3 linked regions of the Xenopus tropicalis genome follow. The protein of the gene in region 1 purifies or fractionates together with the protein of each later gene. This does not show direct contact. Links are inferred from orthologs where the notes say so. Each region holds a gene or a part of one and is shown in the gene's direction. Other genes may lie near its edges.

Region 1 (3,500 bases):
GAACAGCTTTTTGGGTCTGTCCAAAAGAGGGACCTTAGTCAGGCCGGGGAACTGTACCCAAGTAATGTCTGTTGTCTTTCTTCAGGGCCGCCATGTCAAGACTGGGCAGCTGGCCGCTATCAAGGTCATGGATGTCACAGAGGTAAGAATCCCTTGGGTTTGACCAGCGGCCCCCAAACTATGGCCCGCGGGCCGGATCTGGCCCCCCAGAGGAATTTACCCGGCCCCCGCTGCGTCCTCCCACCTGGCAGTGGAGAGAGAGGACTCAGCGGGGAGCGGCACAGGGGAGCTGAGATGATGGACGGACCGGGGCAACTGGTACAGGTAGGACATGCCGGGCGGGATATGAAAAAGGATGTGGGCTTATTCATCAGCACCCTCCCCCCTGGCGGCGGGAAGGGGGGGGGGGGTTGCTGGTGATGGCGGTCCGGCTCCCCAAACTGTCTGAGGGACCCTTGATCTGGCCCCTTGGGTTAGAAGTTTGGGGACCCCTGGGTTAGAGGTTCTAAACATTCCGGGCATTCATGGTTTTTGCCATAAAGCAACACAGGAGTGCAGTTTGGTTGCTAGGTTTTGTAGATTGTAAGCTCTTTTGGGTAGGGCCCTCTTCACCTCTTGTATCGGTAACTGATTGCTTTATATGTTACTCTGTATGTCCAATGTATGAAACCCACATATTGTACAGCGCTGCGGAATATGTTGGCGCTTTATAAATAAATGTTAATGTAATGTAATGTAGGGAGGAAGTAGGGGGGCCAGGAGTTCATACAGGGACTTGGAGTGACTAAGTGTTTTTTGACTAAGTGTTTTTCTCCAAAAAACTTGGTGCCCTTTAGCAGCAGCAGCATTAGTTTGCAGGTATAATGCTTGGGCAGAGTCTGTGTGTATTAGTATATATATCTATATATCTCTGTATATTACATAACGATATTCATATGTGTCTCCCCCGAAATGACTGTCACTGAGCGTGCCCTTACCCAGCCTCGAGCTGATTGGCACTGATGTGCTCGTTAGCGTTTCACCCAGTCACAAGCTCAGGGCCGTGCCAGCCAGGGAGTCTGGGTAATTATGTCCCTAGTGCTCTGTATGAGCCTAATGGAGCGGCTGTGCTGGTACTGAGGTACAGAGCGCCGGGGAGCTGCCGCCGATGCAGGGCTAATGAATAGTAAGCTCTGTGCCGACACTCGGCCCTAATGCACCCATCTCCCCGGCAGGACGAGGAAGAGGAGATTAAACAGGAGATTAATATGCTGAAGAAGTACTCTCATCATCGAAACATTGCAACCTACTACGGAGCTTTCATCAAGAAGAGCCCGCCGGGCAATGACGACCAGCTGTGGGTGAGTGATTGCAAGCTCTGCGCACCAGCCTGTAGGATTTGGCTGCATGCAGGCAGGAGGTTTATGTATGTTGTATCCCCCCCCCTCGTAGCTGGTCATGGAGTTCTGCGGAGCCGGCTCAGTAACAGATCTAGTGAAAAACACCAAAGGAAATGCCCTGAAGGAAGACTGCATCGCCTACATCTGCAGGGAGATTCTGCGGGTAAGTGAGCCCCACTGTGTAAGGGAAACACTATGGCACCTCCTACCCATATGTATAAATACAAATATACAGAGAAGGAATGTTCTGGGCACACAATAAGCTGTACCCCCATACTGTACTGTCTAAGGGAAACACTATGGCACCTCCTACCCAAATGTATAAATACAAATATACAGAGAGGGAATGTTCTGGGCACACAATAAGCTGTACCCCCATACTGTACTGTCTAAGGGAAACACTATGGCACCTCCTACCCATATGTATAAATACAAATATACAGAGAAGGAATGTTCTGGGCACACAATAAGCTGTACCCCCATACTGTACTGTTTAAGGGAAACACTATGGCACCCCCTACCCATATGTATAAATACAAATATACAGAGAAGGAATGTTCTGGGCACACAATAAGCTGTACCCCCATACTGTACTGTCTAAGGGAAACACTATGGCACTTCCTACCCATTTGTATAAATACAAATATACAGAGAAGGAATGTTCTGGCCACACAATAAGCTGTACCCCCATACTGTACTGTCTAAGGGAAACACTATGGCACCCCCTACCCATATGTATAAATACAAATATACAGAGAAGGAATGTTCTGGGCACACAATAAGCTGTACCCCCATACTGTACTGTCTAAGGGAAACACTATGGCACTTCCTACCCATTTGTATAAATACAAATATACAGAGAAGGAATGTTCTGGGCACACAATAAGCTGTACCCCCATACTGTACTGTCTAAGGGAAACACTATGGGACCTCCTTACCCATATGTATAAGTCCAAGCAGTTGGTGCCATAAAGCAATCCTTTCATGATGTAATAGATATTAGAGAGCAGTATAACTTTTTGTTTGTTTGTTTTGCGCAGGGGCTGTCCCACCTACATGCTCACAAAGTGATACACAGAGACATCAAGGGGCAGAATGTCCTTCTCACAGAGAATGCAGAGGTGAAACTCGGTAAGTCATAGCTTCGCTGCCATATGGCTTCCCCCAGCCTGTATGGGGCTACACGTCCTGCTCATTGGCTAGCCCAACCCAGCAGGGGCCACTTGTTTGAGTGCCCAGTTTGCTCAGCCGCATTTGTCTGACCCAGTTGCTAGGCCCAAGGGCTTGTGATCGGATAGGAGTAGGGCCCTGTGAAGCCATTAGGTCACTTTGTACCTTCATTAGATCCTCTCCCTGATTCACATTCTGCCCTGAACAGAATGACTGCTCTGTAACATTCCATTGTTTCTTCCCATCACGGTGCCCCTCAGTGGACTTTGGTGTGAGCGCCCAGCTCGACCGCACAGTGGGGAGAAGAAATACTTTCATAGGGACCCCATACTGGATGGCCCCTGAGGTGATTGCCTGCGATGAGAATCCAGATGCCACCTATGATTACAGGGTAAGATGTCAACTTCCTCCCCATTGGTTCCTGACGTTTGTATTGCCAATGAATTCATTATACACAATTTTGCACAATTGCCTACCATTGCCTACCATTTTGTGTCCTTTTCTCCGCAGAGTGACATCTGGTCGCTGGGAATCACAGCTATAGAAATGGCCGAGGGAGCCCCACGTAAGTTTCTTCTCGTACGCCCCTATCACTGACCAGGGCCCTGATTCGTCTGTCACTTACAGATCTAATTGGCAGCTTGTGCTGTCTGTCTCAGAGTGAGGGAGGAGTTAAGACACTGTGAGCTTAAGGCAGGGGTGGGACTGGCCCAGGGGCCAGAGACAGACTGTAATGTGTTCATCCCTCCAACCCAACCAGTAATGAAACGGACTTGTGCCCAAACCTAGCTAAGGCTTTACTTTCCCTTTAAACACCTATTTTTCAGCTTTATATCTTGTTTTTCCATCTGACTGTGCTCTCTCCTCTCCAGCTTGGAATGTAGCAATGCTATTTTTGCATTGACAGATTCAAGGACTCTTTATATTCTCTGTTTTCTTACATTTCTTGCA
Region 2 (4,268 bases), on another chromosome or scaffold:
CACACCTACCAATCTATACACTCACATACATAAACTATAAATAATCTCTAATCTAAAGGGGTGACCTCTGGTGCATTGATTGTTTTTATGGGAAAAAAGAACATCCCCCATCTGCCTATAATCCCCTCTAATGTACTTGTAAATCAATGTTTTAGGGGGCCCTGGCCAGCAATGCTAACAATGTATGTGTGTCCTTTGTACTGATGGGAGGGGTCACTGGGGGCGGGCACATGAGAAGAGGGGGGCCCAGAAAATTTTGTTGTGGGGGGCTTCATGATTTCTCAAGCGGCCCTAAGTGTGTATATATATATATATATATATATATAATCTGTTCTTTGTGTTTGCTCAGTTTCCCTTGTGTAATATTACATTTAAACTCGGAAACAACTCGCTTTGCAAATATGCAGTACCAGGTAAAACAATGGAGCAGCAAATACTTTTTCTCATCACTGTAATTACAAACTAGGGTGTATGTTCTATGGCCCCATCCTACTAAATTAGCAGGGATCTCCACCTTCACCAGGGGGTCCCAATTAATAGTCTGATGGACACCTAGGCCCCCTGAATGGTAAGCCCTGTCTCAAGTAAAATAGGGCCTCAACGAAACAAAAATTGCCCCTCCTATACAGTGTGTTCTAACCTGTCTCTAAGCTTAATTTAAGACAAAACTCCAACAAAACCTTGCCCACTCATCCACAAGCCCCATCCCTTTTAAGAACCTGGAATCATGCCTTTTCATCTCAGGACACCTGACTGCTGATGTACGTGTACTCCAATAATGATTGCCCATTATCAGGGGCCATTTAGATAACTTAAAAATGTAAATTGTGCATTTCACTTATCTATGGATAGCTAATGTGTGTTGCCTCATTTTACAATTTTACTTTTTAGAAACATCAGGTGCACAATTTGCAGCGCTCATACCCTAGATCTGGACACTTCCTTTTGCTCAATTGTATAAGCACTCTGACAACGTTACAAGAGTTTCTTCTACTGAAATTTTCTGACTGTAGTTTGGTTGATAGAACTGACCAGCAGATGGTGCTATTATTTCAATTTAGACGCATTAGCTGTGTAAAAACGTTTACCAGCTTAAAATCTATGAATACCTAATAAAAGTGGCAAGAAGCCCAATTTTACATGAATGTATTTAGAGTTAACGTTTCCTTTAAGGGTAGCCGGCTTTCAAACATCGCTGTAACTGCAGAGAATACATGGTTAGATATATAGATAAATGCAGGTCTCAGCAATAAAATACATGTTATGTAGACAGGAATATACAAAACACTGATTATCACACTGGTGCCGATACATCAGTCTCTATAAGCCGCCCAGTTTGTCAAAGAAAGGGCGAGACTCTTCATACTATCGCGATGTTTGGAAAGCAGAAACAGACACGCCTTGGGCTTTGCGTTCCACCGCAAATGTTCTACTGAGACGGCGGTGTCACGTCACGTGGGCGTCGCCTGAGAAAGATGGAGGCTTCCGGTTCTCTGATTGTCAACAACAAAATGAGAACAGGAATCGGTGGTGCGGTAATTGGCAGCCCCCAACCGGGCAAGGGACGAGAGTACAACCGTACACAGCGCAAGGATTCAGAGGTATGAGTAAAAGTGGTTGTTATGTATAACTATATTGCATTAACATTTGTGTTTGATTAGTACTCAGTTATCCTCGAATTACCCTTGTAATGTAACTGTGTGCCAGCTTTTATGCTTACTTAGTGACCGGGGTATGTCTGGGGAACCTGTGACAGGAAGACAAGACAGTTCTTACCTGATTAAAAAGCCCATTCCAAAAGGAATCTCACATCAGTTTTGCGAACTATTCTAAACTGCTGACTTGTCTTAGTTTTACTGTTCACCAAAAATATATATTATAGTTCTTCGTGGTTGCTGTCATGTTAATATAACCTATAGTTATCAAAAATATTTAATTAAATCTCCGTCATCCTGAAAGTTGAGCATTTCATTTAGAATCACACATTATATTCCTGTTCTGCAGGAAGATGCTGTGACAGAAAGGCACATGTACCTCTGCAAATGTAGTGAGAAAAGTGCAGTTTTGAGCGTAATTGCTGCAGGTTTTTGAAAAAATGTTGCTTTTTCCCCCAGAATTTGAGTCATTGTGGTTCTCAGTGGAGTGATACGCCTGGCACAATTGCTCTGTCTATTGCAGTTGTATCTGATTTGCAACTGTGTACCCAAAATTGGATGCAATTGCGCCAAAATCCAGCTGGCGTCAGTTCTACTGTTTGGTCTGTACCTGATTCTTTAGGTGCAGCAAGTGTGTGGCAGCTCCAGGCTTCCCCTGGTGCAGCAGCTCTCAATTTGGAACGGAAGGTAGGAAGGAGAACATAAAAGTGGTGCTAGGTGCAGCTGGTTGGGGGGAAACTGGGGACCACTATTGCACTCGTGGACGTAAATGAGCCCTAAAGTGTTCCTGGAAATATCATGCCCATGTATTATTCAAAAAGTTGAATTTAATGCAAAGCTAAGATTTCACCACTTGCACCTTTCTCAGGGTGGAACAAACAAATGGTATTTGGGAGCAGCTGTGCATATTGTAAAAGTAACTGAGGAGAGAATTCTTTGGGCTGTAAACATGATTCAGACTTAAGAAAATAGTATAAAAATGTACCACTCTGTCACATGGTTTCACAGAAAATGCCTGAAAGTTAGTCTGAGGGTAGAGGGCCCTGGGTACTCATGAAAATATTTCAATGAGCAAAAGATCTCCTAGCATGGCCTTGCTTTTACTAGTGAGATTTTTTTTTTTTTATTGGTCTGTGTTTACTGCTTCATCACCTGGGGTTTACAATTGCTCTCGTAATGTGTTATGCTATAATGTGACCCTATTCCACGGTTACTCTAAAGAACCAGGTTGCAAAATGAAATCACTTTCAGTTTCATTGTTTTCCCTGTTAAGTAAAAGAGCTACTGAAAATATTACCTAAGCAAATTAGCCTTTGAGGAAAAAAGGTGTAACACGTACAGTGTCTGAACATCTATGAATAAAGTTAGGTCTCAAAACTGATTACATTTAAATCTCCCAGACTACTAAGAAATATGGTTTTGTTTGCATCAGTCTTATGAGAAAGAATTGATATCTTTCGAAGTTATAATTTTTTTTTTCTTTCCAAGAGTGCAGTCATATTCTGTGACTAGTTGCAAGTGCATTGAAAGCTGTCCACACATAATTCAGCGTGGAAATGCAATAATAGGTATTTGTATTTGCTCTCTGTGAGTGAACAGGTATATCCCTTGCCTAGAAGTGCACACAGAGGGGGCAGAAGGCAGCAGATCAGCTTTTCTCTGCTGGTGTATCTACAGCAATGGGGAAAAAAAACATTCCATGTGCCATTAGGGCGAATGGTCGCAGCGACTTTCCCTTCAAAGGATCCTGTATATGTTGCTGCGACTAATAGCACACAGGTTTTCGCTGCGTAGAGAAATCGCAGCGACTTTTTAAAGACTTATGCCGACTAATCGCCTTGTGTGTCTTCACCCTTAGGGCTCTGGCACACGGGGAGATTAGTCGCCCGCAACAAATCTCCCTGAAAATGTAAATCGCCGGTGGGATGGCATAAGCGGCGGCGCGCTTTCACTGAAATCGCGGAAGTTGCCTTGAGAGGAAACTCACATTTTTTTTACATTTTTGCCGGTGGGATGGCATTTCTGGGAGATTAGTCGCCCGCGAACAGGGAGATTTGTCGCGGGTGACTAATCTCCCCGTGTGCCAGAGCCGTTAGCCTTCCAATGTTTTTGGATAAAAGGTTTTTTTTTATGACTTTCTGGGCTTTTGTGTCCAAAGAATGATCAGATAAGACATCCTCTTACCACAGATATTAGTTATTTGATTTAAAGGGAAGGTCTGAAAATTGTTGTTAGTTTGACTGTTTGGGTATAATCTAACAATCTGATAATGATAGAACAATTTGACTGGTCCATCTCCCAGTCTCTCCTGTGAACTATCATATTTCCAAGACCGCAGTCTTCATGTTGATGATTTATTGTTCTACAGTATACATCAAAGATGACCATTTGTTGGTGATACTATTTACATGCCTTTTGTAATTATTTTTATGTGTGCAGACAGAAAACATAAATATGCCATAAAGTGTTTTAGCTGTTTGTTGCCAACTTGAATGATAAAATAAATTTAAAATTGTTGCACTGGGTTTCTTTTTTTGTTTATTTTTTTATGGCACTTCTGTTCATTTTAGGGCTATTCGGAGTCTCCGGACCTAGAGTTTATATATGCTGATT
Region 3 (4,270 bases), on another chromosome or scaffold:
CCTCCCATCAGAATGCGTGATCTGAGCTACCAACGGCTAGAGCTGCAGCAGGAAGCTACGGAGACCAAGCTAAAATGGCAGCTGCTATCTTAAACAAAAGGCTTTTTACTCAGGTAGGTAAAGCTTTCTGCAGAATAATTTGGCGACTCTATTGGCAGTAAAATGCCAAAATGACTTTCCTTCTACTTTTAAGTTCTTTAAACGTCGTTTTGCTGCCCCTGGTAAACTTGAGGGCTGCTGCTGCCTGAGACGAGTTTCTCAATTCGCCTTATGGCCGCAGTGCCCCTGTATAATAAAATATGTTTTATGGTTGGACAGCTTTAGTCCACAATAACTATAATGACTATTATGTAGCTTGGCACCCCAAAAGCGACTATACATTTATAAAAGATTTCTAATAAGTACCATTTGTGAAAATAATTATAATATGGAGAATTGTTCATCTAATGAAAATACTAGCATAGATTAGGGGGCACATTTACTAACCCACGAACGGGCCGAATGCGTCCGATTGCGTTTTTTTCGTAATAATCGGTAATTTTGCGTTTTCTTTGCGATTTTTTCGGCGTCTTTACGATTTTTGCGTAAAAACGCTAGTTTTTCGTAGCCATTACGAAAGTTGCGCAAAGTCGCGATTTTTTTCGTAGCGTTAAAACTTGCGCGAAACGTCGCGCCTTTTAAGTTTTAACGCTACGAAAAAGGTGCGACTTTGCGCGCAAGTGTTAACGCTACGAAAAAATCGCGACTTTGCGCAACTTTCGTAATGGCTACGAAAAACTCGCGTTTTTCCGCAAAAATCGTAAAGACGCCGAAAAAATCGCAAAAAATACGAAAAAATCGCAAAAAATACGAAAAAAACACAAAATTACCAAAAAAGTCGCAAAATGTTCGTTTCCAATCGGAATTTTTCCAATTCGGATTCGAAATCGTGTCTTAGTAAATCAGCCCCTAGGTGTATACACAAACTTTATAAATATTGTGATGTCAACAGCTTGTGCACTGCTTCTTTTTCTTTTTTTGATGAACATCTTAATATCTACATTAATTTCAGGTAGCTAAAATATGAAAGTGTGTATCAGTGGCTTTTCGAGACAAGGCTCTGATGGCAGCAGGTACTGTTGGCAACAAGGACAAAGTCTTTCTTTCGTTCCCTGTCACAATTCAGAACTCCGACTAGAAAATATGAATGACTTCTGAGGAAACATCGGGGGCAGAGGCGGCAGCGAGCATGGCGGTCACCCAACACCAAAGAAAAGTCTTTTTTCTTTTGTTCTCTATCAAAAGTAGGAGGTGCGAGCATTGGAAAAAGAGATTGGGAGCTGACCAACCGCGGCTGCCTAGCAGCTTCCCACCGTGTAACACTGAGCCAGGCCGGCTCGTCACTCCCACAAGGCGGCGCGCCAATGTGTCAGTGCGTTACGTGTAGCGGCGATGCCAGTCTCGCGTGAGGAGAGATGTGGCGCTGGGAGTGTGTGTAGGACCGGAGCCTGCAGTAACAAGCTCTTCGGGAGATGTAAGTAGCGATACGGGACTAAGGGCTGTGTGAGGAACAGCGGGACTGTTGCAGTATGCACTTACTTCCAGACTTGGGGAGGCAGGGCGGGAGCTGGGGTACCAGCATGTTCTTTCCCATACATAGGTTTCTGTACCAGTGGTTTTGTGACAGAAGCTTTAGTCCCGGTAGAGCTGGATTGGTTAAGCTGGGGGTGAAGTTCAAACTCCCTCCTACCCTATTCAGTTCCCGGGACTAAAACTTCTGTGACAGAACAAGCAGAATACAAGCTGTGTAGGAGAAAGAACATGCTGGCACCCCGCTCCCGCCCTCCCTTCACAAGTGTGCAGCTCATTGACATGAACGGGCTCGGTAATCCTGCAGCGCTGCCGGTTCCCTTTAGGACCCAGAAGTCACCCACCCATTCGCCACCGATGCTGGCCCTTCCTTTGAGGGTCCCCAGGCAGCTGCTTCGCGCACTGAGCTGCTGTTACATGCGAATGATTGTATTCAGTGTGCGGGTCTGTAGCGCTGCATATTGTCTGTGTGAATACATTAGTGCGTGGGGGAAGCCTTTGTGCTATTGCCTTTACTTTCTGGCGTGTAAGTTCTTGCAATAGGGACTCTTTTTTTCAGTGCAGTTGTAAATGAATTCGATCCTCGCACAATAAATGAGTTGAAGGCGGGGATGGGGCGCAGATTTAGCGCACATTGATATTAAAGCTGAGTGGTTGTGATAAGTGCAAAGCAGGGCCAACCTGCAGCCCCACAGTTGTTTCCTATCATGCACCACCTCCAGCATGTGGCAGCTAGGTGTATGTGGGCTGGCATGGGCTGCTGGGAATTAGAGTTCAAAGGCTAAAGAAGGTTGGACATAACTGAGGGCTGCTGAATTTGGGCATTTTAGGTTTTATTGGTGGGGTGAATACCCTTCTATTATCACATATTCTCAGTATTAACACATTTGCTGCTGGATTCCAAGCTGTCTCTGGATGCAATGTCAGCACTAGAACTATTCATCAGAAGTGTTTATTCTGTTGAGCAGCAGCACACAACACTATGGGATTTATTTATATTGCTGTGTACGAGTATGTGGAGTGAAACATTACCGGTGATGTTGCTCATAGCAGCCAATCAGGTGCTTTGGTTTTCTAACTGTTGAAATCTGCTTGCTGATTGGTTGCCTTGGGCAATATCACTACTTTTTACACAGCAAGATAAATATACCCCTATGTGTGATGCCATGTGTTGGCAGGAGTGGTGTAAAGATCTATGTCACTGGACTCCAAGGAGGTGGAAGATGCCTCTCTCAAGGCATGAATCATTCCTCGCATTTGCCCGTCTGACTTAGTCTAGTCTGGGTAAGGTAGATGCAAGTAGGACTACTACCTGCTTGAATGTGTAAGGGTGACAATAAAGCTGGAAATGAATAGGTGTCTGGGTCCACTTTTTAATGGTCTGGGATAGGGTTCTTGGTCTTATTAAAAGCAAAGCTTAAAGCTTCAGTGAACAATGGCATTCTTGATCATTTCTTTCTTTATACTTTGTGGCAACAGTTTAGGCAAGGTCATTTTATGTCTAGTATATTAATACCCATCTTGCACAAATTGGTTTGCTGAGATGCAAGCGAAAAAGATTGATCTCAATCCAACTGATCACCTCTGGGTACAGCCCCCTCCTTGGCTCCTAATAAGTTTACAAATATAAGTACACATGCACTTACTGAAATTCTAGGCATGCCCAATATAGTTGATAAGCATTTACTCTTAAGGGTATGGCCATGCAAGGTGAATTGTTAGCCTGCATATAAAATAAATGCCACCCCTGCCATCTTAGTTACATTACCCAGGTGTCCTGCTTTAGATTTAGACTGAGATGTATATGCAGTAGGGTAAAAATTTCCATTTGTACTCTGCTGAGGTAGAAATACCTGATACTGCAGCCAGTATATAGCATTCCTAACATATTGGCACCATTCAGTGAATCAGGGTTTCCTTATCCAAAATTGACTTTAAGGCTTGGCCCTCCCTTCTAGTACTTCTAGTACTTCCCTGTGAGGCCATACCCACAGTTTGGCAACTACTGTTGCAGGATGTGTATCCACATGCATCTGAAATATTAATGTGCATTGCATTAAACACATAGGGTGTATGTTTGTTTGTTTTTTTCAATATGATTATAAATGCACAATATTTTGTCCATGCTTGTAGTTATGTATGTGTGACAGTAGTATGTATAAGTGATCACTTTATACAACAACTAGGATATTGCCATGCATACATTGTAAAATGTAACTGCAGATGGAGAAAAGGAATGTGTTTCAGGTAGCAGGTAAGCTTTTTTTCTGTTTTTAGTCTCCTGATACAGAGATTCTTTTTCAGTATTCTGTGTTCCACAGTCTCTCCATGTTCACTGGCCATTTGTGGTGTGTTTAGATTCAGTGGGTGGCAGCAGATGTTGAAATATACATAGGCTATAAATGTGCTTTCACAGACTGCATTGCAAACTTTGGTTTACAGCTGATTGAAAACAGAGCAAGGAGCATTAAAAATACAGTGCAATGCAGGTGCTTACGCACAGTCTTGTGAGTATGATGCTGTAGAACAACATGTGTTTATTTTAAGATCACTTTTTATGCAGTTGTTCTATAGATTTTGAACTCAATTGGCATAGCAGATGGCCGATATATTATTATGGTACAGTAGCTTTAAGGGGCATGGATCTCTACACATAAAAAAAAAAAAAAAATACACTACAGGTATTAAACATTATAGGACT

What was found.
Region 2: the proteins of mink1 (region 1) and strip1 purify together in Homo sapiens (affinity purification with mass spectrometry; 3 studies listed by BioGRID and IntAct, with this or other methods). This does not show direct contact. The link is inferred for Xenopus tropicalis from reciprocal best matches to the Homo sapiens genes MINK1 and STRIP1.
Region 3: the proteins of mink1 (region 1) and nck2 purify together in Homo sapiens (affinity purification with mass spectrometry; 3 studies listed by BioGRID and IntAct, counting the BioPlex papers as one, with this or other methods). This does not show direct contact. The link is inferred for Xenopus tropicalis from reciprocal best matches to the Homo sapiens genes MINK1 and NCK2.

Annotation. Positions count from the first base shown.
Region 1 is NC_030679.2:147,595,649-147,599,148, reverse strand, and holds part of mink1 (misshapen-like kinase 1), read left to right. Parts: intron 1-85; coding exon 86-142; intron 143-1,214; coding exon 1,215-1,340; intron 1,341-1,431; coding exon 1,432-1,542; intron 1,543-2,419; coding exon 2,420-2,510; intron 2,511-2,809; coding exon 2,810-2,940; intron 2,941-3,059; coding exon 3,060-3,114; intron 3,115-3,500. UniProt on the Homo sapiens protein: Serine/threonine kinase which acts as a negative regulator of Ras-related Rap2-mediated signal transduction to control neuronal structure and AMPA receptor trafficking.
Region 2 is NC_030678.2:72,084,791-72,089,058, forward strand, and holds the start of strip1 (striatin-interacting protein 1), read left to right. Parts: upstream 1-1,468; 5' UTR 1,469-1,475; coding exon 1,476-1,601; intron 1,602-4,225; coding exon 4,226-4,268. UniProt on the Homo sapiens protein: Plays a role in the regulation of cell morphology and cytoskeletal organization. Required in the cortical actin filament dynamics and cell shape. Part of the striatin-interacting phosphatase and kinase (STRIPAK) complexes.
Region 3 is NC_030678.2:110,108,230-110,112,499, reverse strand, and holds the start of nck2 (cytoplasmic protein NCK2), read left to right. Parts: upstream 1-1,470; 5' UTR 1,471-1,513; intron 1,514-4,270. UniProt on the Homo sapiens protein: Adapter protein which associates with tyrosine-phosphorylated growth factor receptors or their cellular substrates. Maintains low levels of EIF2S1 phosphorylation by promoting its dephosphorylation by PP1.